Caenorhabditis elegans: one gene and its partner. The protein of the gene in region 1 interacts with the protein of each later gene in a pairwise test. Each region holds a gene or a part of one and is shown in the gene's direction. Other genes may lie near its edges.

The links.
Region 2: the proteins of F21D5.4 (region 1) and R05G9R.1 interact in a two-hybrid assay, tested with the Caenorhabditis elegans proteins (one large-scale study listed by BioGRID).

The regions. Positions count from the first base shown.
Region 1 is NC_003282.8:8,734,561-8,742,191, forward strand, and holds F21D5.4 (HTH CENPB-type domain-containing protein), read left to right. Parts: upstream 1-3,526; 5' UTR 3,527-3,528; coding exon 3,529-3,714; intron 3,715-3,762; coding exon 3,763-3,948; intron 3,949-3,992; coding exon 3,993-4,400; 3' UTR 4,401-4,541; downstream 4,542-7,631. Other genes in the region: F21D5.3 (Multicopper oxidase), read left to right, coding at 734-818, 872-1,045; F21D5.5 (uncharacterized protein), read right to left, coding at 1,240-1,632, 1,676-1,782, 1,828-2,005, 2,051-2,421, 4,544-4,616, 4,666-4,718, 4,766-4,814; mrps-33 (Small ribosomal subunit protein mS33), read right to left, coding at 5,035-5,271, 5,323-5,466; F21D5.6 (Ribonuclease H2 subunit B wHTH domain-containing protein), read right to left, coding at 5,728-6,005, 6,057-6,179, 6,227-6,470, 6,548-6,639, 6,686-6,821; F21D5.7 (Signal recognition particle 54 kDa protein), read right to left, coding at 7,229-7,393, 7,469-7,631.
Region 2 is NC_003280.10:6,506,486-6,516,030, reverse strand, and holds R05G9R.1 (uncharacterized protein), read left to right. Parts: upstream 1-2,019; 5' UTR 2,020-2,047; coding exon 2,048-2,122; intron 2,123-2,503; coding exon 2,504-2,628; intron 2,629-2,854; coding exon 2,855-2,951; intron 2,952-3,000; coding exon 3,001-3,260; intron 3,261-3,343; coding exon 3,344-3,434; intron 3,435-3,479; coding exon 3,480-3,573; intron 3,574-3,634; coding exon 3,635-3,963; intron 3,964-4,020; coding exon 4,021-4,755; intron 4,756-4,800; coding exon 4,801-5,037; intron 5,038-5,084; coding exon 5,085-5,194; intron 5,195-5,714; coding exon 5,715-5,910; intron 5,911-5,954; coding exon 5,955-6,023; intron 6,024-6,075; coding exon 6,076-6,324; 3' UTR 6,325-6,531; downstream 6,532-9,545.

The DNA.
Region 1 (7,631 bases):
TTCCGTCCACAACATCTCCCCTCTTATATGACAAAAAGCCAGAAATGCCTGGGCTAGGGGCATCACGACCAGAGGCGGTATATCGACCTCTGCGGCGAGTGGAGGCATGATCAGTGTTTGGGGCTGATCCTCGCACAACTTGTCCCCCTCCCCATCTCATCCTGATCGCCACTGTTGTGTATTGAGCGAAAGACAAGGAGAGAAGTAGTTTATTACAAGAAGTGTAAGAAGTAATGAATTATAAAGAGAGGTCGCTTACGCGATAAGTTCATGATGACCCAAAGGCCACGTCTGTATAAAGTTCAGGTTTACGTTCCGTCCACAACAGTTTTCGAATCGTTGTTTTTTTAAAACATTTTTTAATTCATGGAGCACGTGAGAACCCATTGTTAGGAACACAATCTTTTGAGAACTACAGTAACCAATTTTTTGAAACATTTTTATACCCATTTCCACTTTTTTCTCTCACTCACCCGGCAAACTATCTGTTTGTCTCGACATATTTTTGAGTGTGAAAAACAATGTAAAATCGAGGAAAAGTGTATACTGTAGTTCTTAAAGGCGCACCTAGTTTTGTGCAATCTCGAGTTGAACATTTTTCTTTCGTGATGAAACCATCCACCGTATTTTTTGCGAAACGATCTCAAAATTTTTACTATTAAAGTTTAAGGATAAGAATTAACACTCTCTTATATTTTTAATACTCATTCAAGAAACAAATTAATAATTTCAGATTCCGTGCTGTAAATCCAGGATGGTGGTTTGCTCATTGTCACTTGGAACTTCATTTAATGGGTGGAACTGGATATGCATATAAGGTAAAATACACTTAATATCAGTATCAGTGCAATTTCTAACTGTTCTATTTTAGGTTGGTGATCAAAATCAAATCTACATGCCACCTGACAATTTCCCGCATGATTGTGGTGTCTTCAAAGTTGATAAATTACCAGAATTAAGGCTTCCAACTCAAAAATCTTCGAATATCCCATACACTTTCATTGCTGTGTGCCTAGTTCTTATTATTGATAGAATATTTCACTGATAATTGATAATTTTGATGATTAGAATTTGAACTTTACTCAGCTTGATGTCATATTGATATTAATAAATGAACGTGTGCCTGAAAAAAGTGGAAAGTGAATGAGATTTATTGCACAAGTTGAACAACAAAATTAAAACTCAGATTTTTGGAATGTGTAAGTATATATTTAACATTTAATTAATTTCAAATTGGAATCACTCGATCAAATACATCTTGTAAAGTTTTTCGTGTTCTTCCACTTCGAATTTCGGGCGGAAATTAACTTTCACAATCTGTGAAAATCCCTCGGACAGTGTTGGTTCAACATATTTTCCTTTATGAATTCTTAATACCATTGACGAGATTTCAGCTGCATTATCATCTGTTAACACTCGGAATCGAATATTGTGCTGTGCGTGTTCCATACTACAATTCATCTCGAAACATCGAATGGGCACTCCGAGCTCTTTTGCCACGTCAATATATCGCTTTCGTGATTCTAGATCCGGTGATGTGTTATCAATAACTACAGATTTTCCATCAGCAAGATATGAACGAGTGGCTGCTACACACTTTTGCCATGTTCCGATCGTGTCACGATTCACAATATGAATCAAAAATTTTTGAGTTGAAAAATGCTCCAAAACTTACTTTATAATCATGTTGATGACCGAGCATTTTAGCAAAAGTCGACTTTCCTGAACCGGGAAATCCAACCATTAGAATAATTTCTTTTTCGGATGATTTAAGTTGAGCATCTGAAAATATAATTATATTTATGTTTTCTCATAATTTTATTTCACCATGAGGTTCAAGTTCAGTAATTTCCTCTGAAAATAGATTTTTTGGATCAAAGTTTGGTGGTCCCCAGGGCTCATCAACTTTCGATTTTCCGAAAAATTCTTCTGGAGTTTGAAATTTAACACCGACATTTGCAGCAAAGAAACGATCTGCGTATGAGTGATCTTTTTTAGGACGACTCTATAAAATTAGAATTAAATGAAAGTTGAATCTATTCACACGTACTGTAGTCTTGATTCTTCCAGCAGCATCTCCAACAAAAATGCTTTCTTTTTCATTAATTTCCACTTCATCATTTCTCAATTTCAGCTCATTCCACATACCAACACATGGTTTTCTATAGTGTCCCCCAGCAACTGAAACAAATGCTTGAACAGGTATTCCAAGTTTTCCAACAATTGCTTCAATTTTCTTCCTAAATTCATTTCGATCAACTTTTCCAGCGTGGATGCCTTTTTGATTTGTGAAAATGACAATTTTGAATCCGTCGGAATGCAATTTTTTGAAATCTGATGGAATTGAGTCATATAGAAGTTGCCAATCTTGACAATTTGTTGGAAACACTTTTCCAGACTTTGTTTTGATCAGAGTTCCGTCTGAAAATACGATTTTTTTAAACAAAAATATTTTTTTCATACACTAGAAAGTTTAGAACAACTCATAAATTTAACCTTTTTCAGGTTTTCATCTATTATTGTTGTGGAGATCGACAAAAAATAGTTGTAGGGGTTCGAATCTACAGTAATTTTAGGGATTTCCACAAAAATTTGGCAATTTACCAAAAAAAAAATTGATTAGTATTACATTTTTATTAATTTGTGCAAACTACTTAATTTGAAGAAAATCAAATGGAAATTACATCACAATTTTAGGTTCAAGGGATAAATGTACCGAGCCAGAGGCTCACTGCTTGAATAGTCTCAGTAAGGCCAAGTTTCTTGATACTAATTTCATATTTCGTGAAAATTATCAATTCTGCGCCAAAAATATGTGTTTTCTTTTGATAGAAGACGTGAGTTTTCCCACTCATCAACAACAAGAAAATCAAAAAATATATCCATACACCACTCAGTATTTCTAGTCGTCTGTGTTCTCTAATTGTAGGTCACAGCCTCCCTCCATTAGACAGGCATAGTATGTTTGTCTGTGTCTCTTCATCTTCATACACACTCTGAATGTTTGTCTGTTGTCTCTTGAAGTGTGGACACCCTCTATTAAAACGGCACTCCCTTCTTCTTGACGTTAGAATTCATTGATTTTTTTCTATTTATTTATTTTATCTTTTCTAAAGATGCAAATGTAAATATTACACAGATGCGAAATTTTGTGATTTTCAACGCAAAAATACGATACTCGGTCTTGACACTGCGGAATAAGTTTATATGAAAAAAAGTGCACCTTTAAAAAGTACAGTAACCTCTACGAGTCACTGTTCTGACTTATTCATCTTCGACTTTTTTCCTGAATTTTGCATAAAATTTTAGTATTTTTTGATTTGTCTCACAAAAAACAATTTTTTTTTGGGAAAAATGTGAAAATCGGAAAATCAAACCAATGAGGCAGGGAGATTACTGTACTTTTTAAAGGATATTCGGTCGTGCCAAGACCTAGTATCGCATTTTTGCGTAGGAAATCGCAAAATTTCGAATCTGAGTAATACTATTCTAACCGAAATGTAGAATTCTCAGCTTTAAACTTCAGAAATGACTGAAATCTCTCCTAAAATACTTGAAACTTCATCCGAGCCACCACCAAAAAAGAAGCGTGCCAATTTTACACTCGAATTCAAAAATGAAGTTATTCGATTTGCTGAACAAACAAATAATTGTCAAGCTCAGAAGAAATATGGAGTTGCAAGAGCTTGTATTCAACGATGGAGACATTTGAAGGTATTTCTGAACTACAGTAGTTCTATCAACAAATTTCTGGAATTTCAGCACGAATTAGCATTCGAATCAGAAGGAAAACAAGGAGCAAAGAGGCTCGGTGGAGCAGGAAGACCGCTAAAGAATGTGGAATTAGATGAGAAAGTTGAAGATTGGATTGCTTCGAAAAACGGGAAAATTTCGGGAAAAGATATCAAGGAATATGCGAAGAAAATTAATGGAAATGCAGACTTTAAGGTTTGAAACATTTAAACTCGAATTTCGAATAAAATATTTTCTAGGCAAGTAATGGTTGGCTTCAAAGATTTATGATTCGACACGGATTGATAAAAGCAAGAAGTTCAAGCCCAAAAACGCCATCAACTAGTGATGGCACAACAGACAAAACGCTTGAAGAATCACTTTTTGAACTAATTAACAGTGATGAATGGAAGAATATATCAGAAGGAAATGTTTCAGGATTCCTAGAAGATTTTAATGCAGAAAATGGAGAAACTAGTTTAAAAGTCGAGGGAAACAATAGTACAACCACAGAGAGTGAAGTAAAACAGAAACCAAATGAATCATCGAAATTGCCAGAAATAAACATTTTTCAACAATTGGAGATGCTTATTAAGGATTCTAATGGGAAGGAAGACAGTGTAGAAGAAACCGAAACATCTGTGAACCGTTCTCCGAAATCTTATTAATTTTTTGTTATCGTTCATATTTTTCTAAAACTATAGCATGTTATTTTCCATTGAAACAATTCATATCTGATATTCATAATCAAAATTTGGAATACTCATGGAAAGTTAAATCTCGCCAATAAAATAATGTGACCAATTCTTACCCATATCGAATGCGGCAATTTTCTCTTTTCCTTCACATTCTGAATGGGTGAAAATCATCAAATCGCCGTTGTCCTGGAAAAATCAGACTTTAGTTTTTTTTAATGAAGTTTATTTTTGAAACCTTTGATTCCCAGGATCCAGTCTTTTTCAGTGGTCGTCCAAATAAATCAGTATCTGTAAACCGGAGATGAACTTTTTCAGATAAATTGCAAAATCGAAACCTTTAGATTTTTTCGCTTCGTTTTTTGCTCCATCCATTGCTCTTTTCATAATTCTAAGTCTGAAAACTGCTGAAAAAAGCAACGTCTGCCAATTATTTGTGGAGCAATTAAAAAGAAAATCAATAATCGATATTTTCTGTGTTAAAAACTTTAATTTTATTGGAAAAATGTAGCAAAACCTCAAAAAGAATTTATTTTCAATTAAAACAAACGTAAAAAAAAAATCAACAAAACTTCTAATCTAGATTTAAACTTCGAGAACATCCACACTACTTCTTTCCTCTCAATTGTGCACGCTTTCCTTGACCGATTGGTGGCCGAACAACTTTTCCGCGAATAATTTTCAAATTATCTTGAACATCTCTGAAAACTACGTGATCATCAAAAAATAGTCCATGGAATCGTAGCATTTTGGTCAAATAATGAAACATCGGAAGATTTGGATAGTATTTCGGTGATAATTGTTCTTTGGTTTCATATGGTTCTGCAGACATTACTCGGACAACCTGTAAATGAAAATTTTCAGAAACTTTTCTTTATAAAAATCATCTAAAAACCTTTAAACTTTTAGTGTCAGTTGGCATGACAACCTCTCCCCATACTCGATTTGACAATCGATCCATTCGTTTTCCGAATGGTGTAGGTTGAGAGATTCCGCGGCCGGCGTGCACAATTCGTGATGCAGCCAGACGTGCCGCCATCTTAAAATATTTTTTTTATTGTTGATCCGTTAAAATCGGATGAAACTGTTAAATATAGATATAAATAGGCAAAGGACCCATTTCGGAAGGAGTATTCTCAATCGAAAACGTTTCAAAGTTTCAGTTATTTAGTACACGAATTAAAAAATGTGTGAAATGCAAAATTGAGATTGAGCAAAGTAATAGCATCGGAATCATAGATAAATTGAGGTCAATGTTATGAAATTATATGCGAAATTGTTGAATAAAGAAAATAGAGATTCAAGCAGATTTTTTTCCAAAAAATGAGCTGATTGATTTGGTTCCCTTCGAGGCGGCTTGAAGTTTCTTTGATTGTACTGATTCTTTTGGTTTCTTTGCGACAGGTTGCTTCTTATCTTCAAGCTCATCGTCATCCACAGCTTTTCGTTTCATACTCATATCGATGTTCTCGGAGACAGTAGCATCTTGAATATTCAAATGATCTTTAACAATCAATGCAAGATCAGAAGAAAGATATTCAGACAGGAATGTGAAAACATAACGATCGAATGCTTCCGCTGAAATTTATTTCATTTTGGTAAAATTAAGAAGCAAAACGAGAAACTTACGACATGACAACAAAGACTTGTGGGCATCACTTTCTAGAAGTTTTTTGAGAGAATCAAACTTCCTTCTCATCCAATCCAACATTTTTTGATCGTTCAAACGATATAGTTTGACATCGAGAACATCTGGAAATCTTTTATTTTTCCATCTCCACGAACTGATATTTCCAAACCTTTGACATCTGAAACAGCTTCCAATGCTTTCAGAATTCTTTCATTTTCAGCCAATTCTTTGATCCCGTCAACTTGATCATCTACCAATATTTCGCCAATTTCCACAAATTTTCCTGCGGTCTTTTGTAGATATGGGAGACAAATGAAGACGAGATTGTATGGAGTGAATATGTGAATTGTTCCGTTTTCGATTACACTCTCACCGTAGAAGAATGATCGATGACCGTCGTTGACAGCGAAAATCTGCATAAATTTTGTAAGTTTATTCTCATTTAAAAGTTTATTCAGGTTTTTTGTGAAAGCTTGACCAATATTTTTACCTCATCAAAGCACGTTTCGGAGATTCTGAACAGCGCTAGTCCTTCCTTCGGGTGCCGCAGTTTGATGATTCGGCTATTTGGCAAATTGCCCTCTGAAAACAAAAACATTCATTTTTGAAATTAAATAAAGGAAATCACCTTTGGAAATGACAACTTTTCTCGAATAACTCTCATCGGATTCTGGTAATTTTGCAGGTTTAGTTTCTTCTAAAATCTCTTCAACAGCCTCTTCCTCGACGTCTTCTTTTTTTGTTTTTCTAGTTTTTGGTGGCATTCTTGTTCTGAAACTGATTTATTACAATTTGTAATTGATCTAAACTTATGGAAAATAGTTCGAAATTCGTCAAAAAACGAGAACAATGAGATAGAAAATAAACAGGCATATGTTTTTCAGTCATTTTTAAATGTGAATATTTACACCGATGAGCCAAGGGAAAAAACGAGTTTAATTCAGGAAAATTCAAAAGGGAAAAAAGAAATAAATAAATTATTCTTTAACTAAATTGTTTCTAATTAGAATCACAGAATCTGCTAGACAAAAAATGAACTTGGGAAACATTCTGATGAAAGGGAAATCGAGAAATCATATTGATATTATTAAAAAACGTTTTAGTCAGAATGAATTGTGGGAACTGGGAACAGGCATTTCAAAAACTACAGAAAATAATTGCATCCATTTCTTCACATTTTTCCAGCTCTTGCCATCTGCTGCATCATATTTTGAAGGCCTCCCATACCACCCATCTGCTGCAACACACGTGGATCCATCATTTTTGCCATTTGTTGATTCAATTGAGCCATTTTCGCTGGATTCATATTTTTTGGGTTTATATCACCGTTTTTGCCCTGCAAAATGAATTCATTAGAAATAATTATTGAAATTACAAAATTTCAATTTGTCGAATAGGAACAAAACTTTACATTGAAGAGTCCTTTAATTGATCCAATCTTCTTAACAACATCAGAGAATTTCTTGTACTGAGCGAGAAGATCTCGAACTTCTTGTTGATGAGATCCCGATCCTCTGGCAACTCTGGCAACTCTATTTGGTTCTTTTGTAAAGAGCTCAGATGCTTTTGGATGA
Region 2 (9,545 bases), on another chromosome or scaffold:
CTGATGCTAATCTAACGGAAATTCCTGGCTTTATTATAATTATTCTCTCATAAACTCGTCTGGTGTGTGGCGGGTCGAAAGTCGCGAAAATCTTGAAAAAGCATCTCATTGTCGCCTTATTCTACAAACCTTTTTGATAGAAATCTGCATAATATCTGCCTGTGCGGGTGCGTGTTCCGGTGAAATTGGGAAAGTTGGGAGAAAGTCATCTAGAATGAGATACACCGTATATCTCATTGTTTTTCCTTTTTTCATTTAGATTTCTTTACATACTTCTCAGTTTACTTCTAAACGACGTGGCGATACACACTTCTGTATATACTGCGTTATTACTGCATGTTTCGAGAATATACACATGCGTCTCGCCTCATCTTTCATTTAATCCATTTAATAATAGGATCTTGAATTGAAATGTGGTATATAAGAAAAGTCTCATCTATTGATAACTAACAGTTTATCACTTTATCTATTAGGATTTCACTTTGAACTTTTTAGCGAATGTTTTAGATGCATTTCTTCTTTCATTCCAATTATTACTTCATTTTTATAATTTCTATTTTGCTAGTGACCAAACATTTATGAAACTATTTGGTTAAATTTAATGTGAAACTTTTCTTGGAAAGAATTTAGACTTTAGTTATCTTTGAACTTATCTTAAAATTTTTTGAAATTTCTTACCACAGATTTACCCAATTACTAATGTTTTATGTGGGCCTAAAAATTTTGACTAATCTTAATCTCCAAAGCACGACGTACACACTGATGGCTTTTTGTCTCCCCTTTTCTTCCAAATTTTGTCTAATTTGTGAGTGATGATGTCGTTCTTTTTTCTGCATCAGGGCAGGGATACTATGCGGAACAACACTCATATGTATAGAAAAAAAGCTGCACGTATCCAAAACCTTTTACCTGATCCTTTTTATGATCCAACACGACCCTGCACTTTCAGTCAGTCAATTAGATTTATGTGTCCTCGTCATTTCGTTACGTACGTTGAAACTAGCTGCATAAGGAAAGAGAATCAAATGGGTGGAAGGGGGCATATCCGAAAGTTATTGCCATTTTGAAACCAATTGCCACCCTATTTGGGGAAAGTTTATAGAGAAGGAGGAGATGAATGTATTCAGGTATTCCTTTCCTGAGTCATTCTCCCTATTCCAAAAAAAAATTCCAGAACTGCTTGTTTCTCGTCGTTTTGTGTCTTTTCAATGTCGGCCACCTTGTCCATTTCATTGCCAATCAAAATGCAATCTAAGTTTCTCGATGACGATTTTCCTGTAATAAACATACCGCTCCTTTTCCACAAAAGATTGTCACTTCTTTCTTTTTGACTATCCCAAAGTTGCTAATTCCTCTGCTGGGATTGGACTTTTTATCAAATCCCCAGTTTTCTTGCCTATTCGTTTGCAAATCGAATGCCACAGATTGGCTGGAATATGTTTAATTTTTCAAGCATATTTTTCCTTCTCCCATGAGTTTTGAATCCATATTAGTCAGACGCTTTTGTCATTCTCATTGAGCAACCAATTTAGATTTCCTCTACAGGAAGTTCAACTTCAATTTCACATTTTGCTCTGTGCGGCTTGATTAATAGCTAGAGTCGAATATTTTTGGATTTTTTCAAAAACAACCAAGAACTATCAAAGCCGTTCTGGTGAATTTACTCTGTTAGGAACATCTTCATCTTAGTCTTCGTGGATTCCGACATACATATTCACTTGTTCAAATGTATCGATAACTCGGCAAACTTCCCGGTTTTTTCATGCATTCTTTCTTTTTCTTGATATCCACAAATAGTTACAATGCCCTTACCAATTTGCCAAGAATTTGATCTTTGAATTGTTTTACAGTAACAGAGGCTTTTTGCTCCAGTAATTGGTAGTTGAATTTGAATCAAAGAAAATGTTTCTCACACTAGTTAATTCAAGTCTTCTAAATTTAATTTTATTTACTACTGTTTCATATTCCAAGTTTATGTTATTATACTTTTCAATTATTTCGGTTATTTCTCTTAATTGCAGGTCCTGCCAACATCGATCTCTTCGAGATGGTCGATCGAAGTCGGCATCTCATGCCACATTATTTTCATGTATTTCTGGTCTTAGTGATCTCGATTAATCAGGTGAGAAGATATATTTGAAGTGGGCAACTTAAAACAAGAGTACAGTTGACCACCCACCCAGACACTTTTCTTATTCTGACGATCACTTAATTTGCGTATTCTTCTTCCTTTTCTGGCTTTTTTTGCAACATGTGTCCATTCTCCGTTAGCCAACTTCTCTTCCTTGTTTGTTGAATAAAATATAATGAAAAGTAGTGGAGGGACGTCGGTGATTGACGGCTTGGGAATGTGTACAGAAGCAAAACGGAGACCGTTCGGAGACAAGAATAATTGTGGCAATTATGACCGGTGAAGAGAAAGTTACACGGGGGAAAGGGTGAAATTGAGAAGGCAAAATCACGCTAGGTGACCATAGTTAAGGTAACAAATTCGAAGTTTCAGGTGAGTGCAAATGGATGTGACAGATATGTTAAATGTCGGAATGATCTTCTTGAAGTACACTGGAAATGTGCAGAACCATCAAGAAGATTTACTCAACATGCATGCAAGATCAACGATTTATATGGGTAAGAAGTTTTGAACAGATATATGTTCAAACTTACAACAATCTGAAAACACATTTTAGTCTAGATTGTTGTTAGCTCTCATGAATCTTGAAATTTTAATAGTGGAAAATTATGTCTGACTGTAAACAAAAATTTCAATTTTTTAGATTTTTCAGATTTTTTTTGAAACCTTGTTGCATTAAAATTATACGTCAGGTTGTCGAAGCTTATAAGGATTATTTTCCAGAAACCACAAGGCAACATCTTACAACATAGAGTCATTGTTCAGTGATTGCGCCTCCAAATATTCTGCAATCAGTGAGATAGACTTTCTGCTCATGACTGTGAGACAGTGCTCGATTGCTAATCCAGTATTTTTTTAAAATATTTTAGGATCCATCATGTCATAATGAAATTGAAATGGATTCTCGACCACTATTCTTTTCTTCTGCAACTTGTTGGAGTGATCTTATGAGACTGACACAGAAATGTTTCACCTTGAGCCGATGTTGTCCAGCAGCTCAAAGATGCGGGGCAGAGATGGAAGGAGATGTGATAAATGAGCAATATGAACTTGAGAAAAGTCAAATAAAGTTGAGACTGGAAGAATGTGCAGTTGATATGGCTGCAGTGTTGAGGGCTCCTATTTCAAGGTTGGAATTTTTAATACAGTCCAAGCTAAGAAAAAAACAACTTTAAATCTATGAGATGAAGAAATTATATTTTCATTTTTCAGAGAAGACGCGATGATTGCTCGGAAAGTTAGTGAGGCAACGAAAGTTATGCTAAGATCAGTAGTTCCGTTTAAAGTTTATCCAGATCCGCACGTGAGAACATTCATGAATATTCTATCATATCTAACTTTGTTTTAGAAACGAATAACAAAGAGGACAAAACATGGAAAGAAACCCAGAGAATTTGCTGCACCTCTGGCAGTCAGACCCAGGGCACTCAGGAAATTCAGTAGTGAGTTAATTTTTGGATTTTGCTATATATTTATGACAGACCGTTCTGAACAATATTTCAGAAAATCGATACGGAATCTCCAAGCGAAAATTTTTGAAGACAGTTCGTACTGGAAGAGCTGAAATTCTTCACTCCCCAATAGAACCACCAACAACTTCTCTAAGTCCATTTATTGTTCTTCATCACGGTGGAACAGCCATTCAGACATCGTCACAACCGCCAGCTTTCTCTCCATTCACATTCCAGTCTATTGATTTTGACGCTAGAATGAATCGGAAGTTTAGAAGAAATAAAAAACGAAGACTCCGAAAGAAGAAACATGATTTTGAAGATGAACCACCATTTGCACAAGCTTCAAAAATTACAGAATCCAGATTTGATCCCCGTCACGTAAGTTGATCATTTAAAACACCCTAAGATCAAATAGGTATATTTGCATGATTTCAGGCAGCCGAAAAACTAGACAAACTTAACGGAAATTTGAAACAAAAAGGAGAATTTGGAAGATCAATACTTCCAAAAATGTTAATGGTGAAACAAAATAAGGGAAGCTTTTTGGGATTTGCACAGCCCGTTATCAAACCACTATATTTTTCAAGACAAGAACAAGTTGAACCCAATCAGAGCGTTGATCAAATTTACGATGATATCATTGGCGATCAGAGAAATAAAAATGAATTGTCAAATTCTATAATCGATGCAACAACGATAAGACCTCCAGATTTCAATTTTATTCCAATTGTTCAAGAAAATACACCGGATATGAGAGAAGCATTCATAAATAACAATGGTGCATGGACGATGGAACCCACAACCGAACAAACAACGGAAACCCCACCTCCATCAAGTACTCTTCCACCTCCAACCATTACTTATCCAACAACTTATCTTTCAACATCATCAGTTCGCCCACCATCTTCTCGTCTTACATTTTCGCCAATTCGTAGAACAACTACACTTGAAGAACCAACTACAACAGTTGAAATGACAACTACAACAAAACCTATCACAACAACAGAAGTTACAAGCGAACCACCAACACCTTCATTCTCAGTTGATCCATTGATTGATTATGTTACACATGAATTATTAGATAAGCATATGGAAAAACAAAAGTCAGACGATGATGAATTTGATTTTTCGAATGCTGATTATATTGATATTAGTGCGATGGACATTGATGTTTGTTAATTTACATTTACTATACATTATTATTTTTCCTTTCAGCCCGGTACATCCACCACTCCAATGTTCCCAATTCCAATTGCCAGATATGAACAAGTAAACAGTTCATCTTCAATGTGGCCGATGGATGGACAACGTCGTCCATCTACTTCAGATCACACCACAACTCCACAATTACGAACTACAGCTGCTCCATTGAGTCCTGGAAGGCTCAGTGAGCAACAAAATGAGGATTTAATACCACTACCAACGGCGGCTTATACGTTTGGATCTGTTGATGTTAGTGGAAAATGTCTACTGAAAAGTATGAAAATGACTGTTCTCAGGTAACTCCATCACCATCAATAAGCACAACTCCACTGGAAGATCAACTGTGGCCATTGCCAATAAGAAAAAGACATCGGCTGAAATTAATGGGAGCGAAAATGAGAGAAAAGTGGGTTGATATCAAAATATGCGTGACAATGTGTCTTCATGTTTTTGTAATGAAAACTGTAGATATTGTCAACTCGCTTGTTTTACACTTCGTTTTATTTTTGTCCAGAACATCCTAGAGACCTACCTAGAATTTATCTAGCCATTTTCCACATTTTGTCAAAGCTATGGCAAATGCCAAAATTTAAAAAAAAGTGGAATTTTGTCGTAATTTCGAGAACTGCTGCAGATTCCTACAATGTTTTTATCCAAACAACTAAAAAGCGACAAAAGTATAAAAATTGTATTAGAAAATGTGACCATTGCTTCCTAGGATCATTTTTGAACAATTACCCCAATGACACTAGTCCGAATCAAAATTAATTTATCTTCTTTGGGAACAAAATGACATTAGGAGTTTAGTATCGTGCCGAAATTGTGCCTATAACTATACCTATCACAACCTAGATATCGATACGTGATCATGTATTCGCTAATTTTCCCATTCTTATGATTGCAATAGAAACTTGTCAATATTCTAGAACGAAACCAATTGTCATTTTGCCAATGAACAAGAAAAATGCCAAAAAGATGGAGCAATACAAGCGGACACTACAAACTGGATGCCAAAGATATGATAAATGTCTTCGGAAAGAAGTTGAAATGCGAATTAAATGTGCTCAACCATACCCGACGCCATATGATAAATGCTCTTCTCAACTGCTTCCACTTTATAAAGTGAGTTAATTCAGAGATTCTCCACCGCTCATCTACCTGTTCAGTTAATTGATGAAGCTTCGAACAACAAACTACAATTTTTCATAAAATGTGTTGCGCACTCGCAGGAACAGGTGAAATAGAAAGAGAGAGCCACTGCTATAATAACATTTAAAAAAAATTCAGAATTCTAAATGTTATGCACCGAAGAAAATGCGTGCACAGGAAGTGATATGTGAGAATCTCGAAGTTTGGTCATCATACTGTAGGCAACTAGAACTATGTTGTCCAGCCAAGGATCGATGCGACTCAGAAGCCGAAGACGATCATGTTGGTACTCGCTTACGTCTTCTAGAAAAATCGTTTTCACTTCGTGCAGCTGCCTGTCAATTCAAACATGCATTCCATCGAACACTGACAAGAAAGATGTTATAAATGCTATGATCCTTGTAGGATGTTTAGAACTAAACTATTTTTTACGACAATTACGGGATTTCTGTTTTTAATTTTTGTTTTCCAATTTTCTGTATATTTTGAAAATGCTCACACCCCTATTAAGCTCAAATATTAACTTATGAATATAATGGAATGTTTCAATTCTTTGTTTAAAAATAACAGGGTTAAATGAATCAACTTTTCCTATTTTCGCTAGATTGATTGGACTGAAAAGTTGGAAATGAACCAACAAACAATGTAGTGTGAGAGGAGGGAATGAACCTACGAAGAATTGAGAACCAAAAATACAGCACATGTATTTTGTGGGAACTCAAGAGAAAGTGTGGGAGGAGGGAATGAACCTACGAAGAATAGAGAACCAAAAATACTGCTCCTGTATTTTGTGGGAACTCAATAAGAAAATAGGAGATCTGGAAAAGCCCGAACACTAGGGAGAGACCCCAAAATACTGGCTGTATTCTGGACCGATCATCTCGTAGAAACAGAAGAAGGAAAAGTGTAAAATTAACCTAACAATTAGGTTGAGAACCCAAAACACTGCTCCTGTATTTTGTGGGAACTCAATAAGAAAATAGGAGATCTGGAAAAGCCCGAACACTAGGGAGAGACCCCAAAATACTGGCTGTATTCTGGACCGATCATCTCGGAGAAACAAAAGAAGGAAAAGTATAAAGTTAACCTAACAACTAGGTTGAGAACCCAAAATACTGCTCCTGTATTTTGTCGAAACTCAATAAGAAAATAGGAGATCTGGAAAAGCCCGAACACTAGGGAGAGACCCCAAAATACTGGCTGTATTCTGGACCAATCATCTCGTAGAAACAGAAGAAGGAAAAGTGTAAAATTAACCTAACAATTAGGTTGAGAACCCAAAATACTGCTCCTGTATTTTGTGGGAACTCAAGAGAAAGTGTGGGAGGAGGGAATGAACCTACGAAGTATAGAGAACCAAAAACACTGCTCCTGTATTTTGTGGGAAATCAAGAAGAAAATAGGAGATCTGGAAAAGCCCGAATACTAGGGAGAGACCCCAAAATACTGGCTGTATTCTGGACCGATCATCTCGAAGAAACAGAAGAAGAAAAAGTATAACGTTAACCTATCAACTAGGTTGAGAACCAAAAATACTGCTCCTGTATTTTGTGGGAACTCAATAAGAAAATAGGAGATCTGGAAATGCCCGAACACTAGTGAGAGACCCCAAAATACTGGCTGCATTCTGGACCGAACATCTCGAAGAAACAGAAGAAGAAAAAGTATAAAGTTAACCTAACAACTAGGCTGAGAACCCAAAATACTGCTCCTGTATTTTGTGGGAACTCAAGAGAAAGTGTGGGAGGAAGGAATGAACCTACGAAGAATAGAGAACCAAAAATACTGCTCCTGTATTTTGTGGGAACTCAAGAAGAAAATAGGAGATCTGGAAAATCCCGAACACTAGTGAGAGACCCCAAAATACTGGCTGTATTCTGGACCGATCATCTCGAAGAAACAGAAGAAGAAAAAGTATAAAGTTAGCCTAACAACTAGGTTGAGAACCCAACATACTGCTCCTGAATTTTGTGGGAACTCAATAAGAAAATAGGAGATCTGGAAAAGCCCGAACACTAGGCAGAGACCCCAAAATACTGGCTGTATTCTGGACCGATCATCTCGAAGAAATAGAAGAAGGAAAAGTATAAAGTTTACCTAACAACTAGGGAGAGACCCCAAAATACTGGCTGTATTCTGGACCGATCATCTCGAAGAAACAGAAGAAGGAAAAGTATAAAGTTAACCTAACAACTAGGTTGAGAACCCAAAATACTGCTCCTGTATTTTGTGGGAACTCAAGAGAAAGTGTGGGAGAAGGGAATGAACCTACGAAGAATAGAGAACCAAAAATACTGCTCCTGTATTTTGTGGGAACTCAAGAAGAAAATAGGAGATCTGGAAAATCCCGAACACTAGGGAGAGACCCCAAAATACTGGCTGTATTCTGGACCGATCATCTCGAAGAAACAGAAGAAGAAAAAGTATAAAGTTAACCTAACAACTAGGTTGAGAACCCAAAATACTGCTCCTGTATTTTGTGGGAACTCAATAAGAAAATAGGAGATCTGGAAAATCCCGAACACTAGGGAGAGACCCCAAAATACTGGCTGTATTCTGGACCGATCATCTCGAAGAAACAGAAGAAGAAAAAGTATAAAGTTAACCTAACAACTAGGTTGAGAACCCAAAATACTGCTCCTGTATTTTGTGGGAACTCAATAAGAAAATAGGAGATCTGGAAAATCCCGAACACTAGGGAGAGACCCCAAAATACTGGCTGCATTCTGGACCGATCATCTCGAAGAAACAGAAGAAGAAAAAGTATAAAGTTAACCTAACAACTAGGCTGGGAACCCAAAATACTGCTCCTGTATTTTGTGGGAACTCAATAAGAAAATAGGAGATCTGGAAAATCCCGAACACTAGGGAGAGACCCCAAAATACTGGCTGTATTCTGGACCGATCATCTCGAAGAAACAGAAGAAGAAAAAGTATAAAGTTAACCTAACAACTAGGTTGAGAACCCAAAATACTGCTCCTGTATTTTGTGGGAACTCAATAAGAAAATAGGAGATCTGGAAAATCCCGAACACTAGGGAGAGACCCCAAAATACTGGCTGTATTCTGGACCGATCATCTCGAAGAAACAGAAGAAGAAAAAGTATAAAGTTAACCTAACAACTAGGCTGAGAACCCAAAATACTGCTCCTGTATTTTGTGGGAACTCAAGGAAAGTGTGGGAGGAAGGAATGAACCTACGAAGAATAGAGAACCAAAAATACTGCTCCTGTATTTTGTGGGAACTCAAGAAGAAAATAGGAGATCTGGAAAATCCCGAACACTAGGGAGAGACCCCAAAATACTGGCTGTATTCTGGACCGATCATCTCGAAGAAACAGAAGAAGAAAAAGTATAAAGTTAACCTAACAACTAGGTTGAGAACCCAAAATACTGCTCCTGTATTTTGTGGGAACTCAATAAGAAAATAGGAGATCTGGAAAATCCCGAACACTAGGGAGAGACCCCAAAATACTGGCTGTATTCTGGACCGATCATCTCGAAGAAACAGAAGAAGAAAAAGTATAAAGTTAACCTAACAACTAGGTTGAGAACCCAAAATACTGCTCCTGTATTTTGTGGGAACTCAATAAGAAAATAGGAGATCT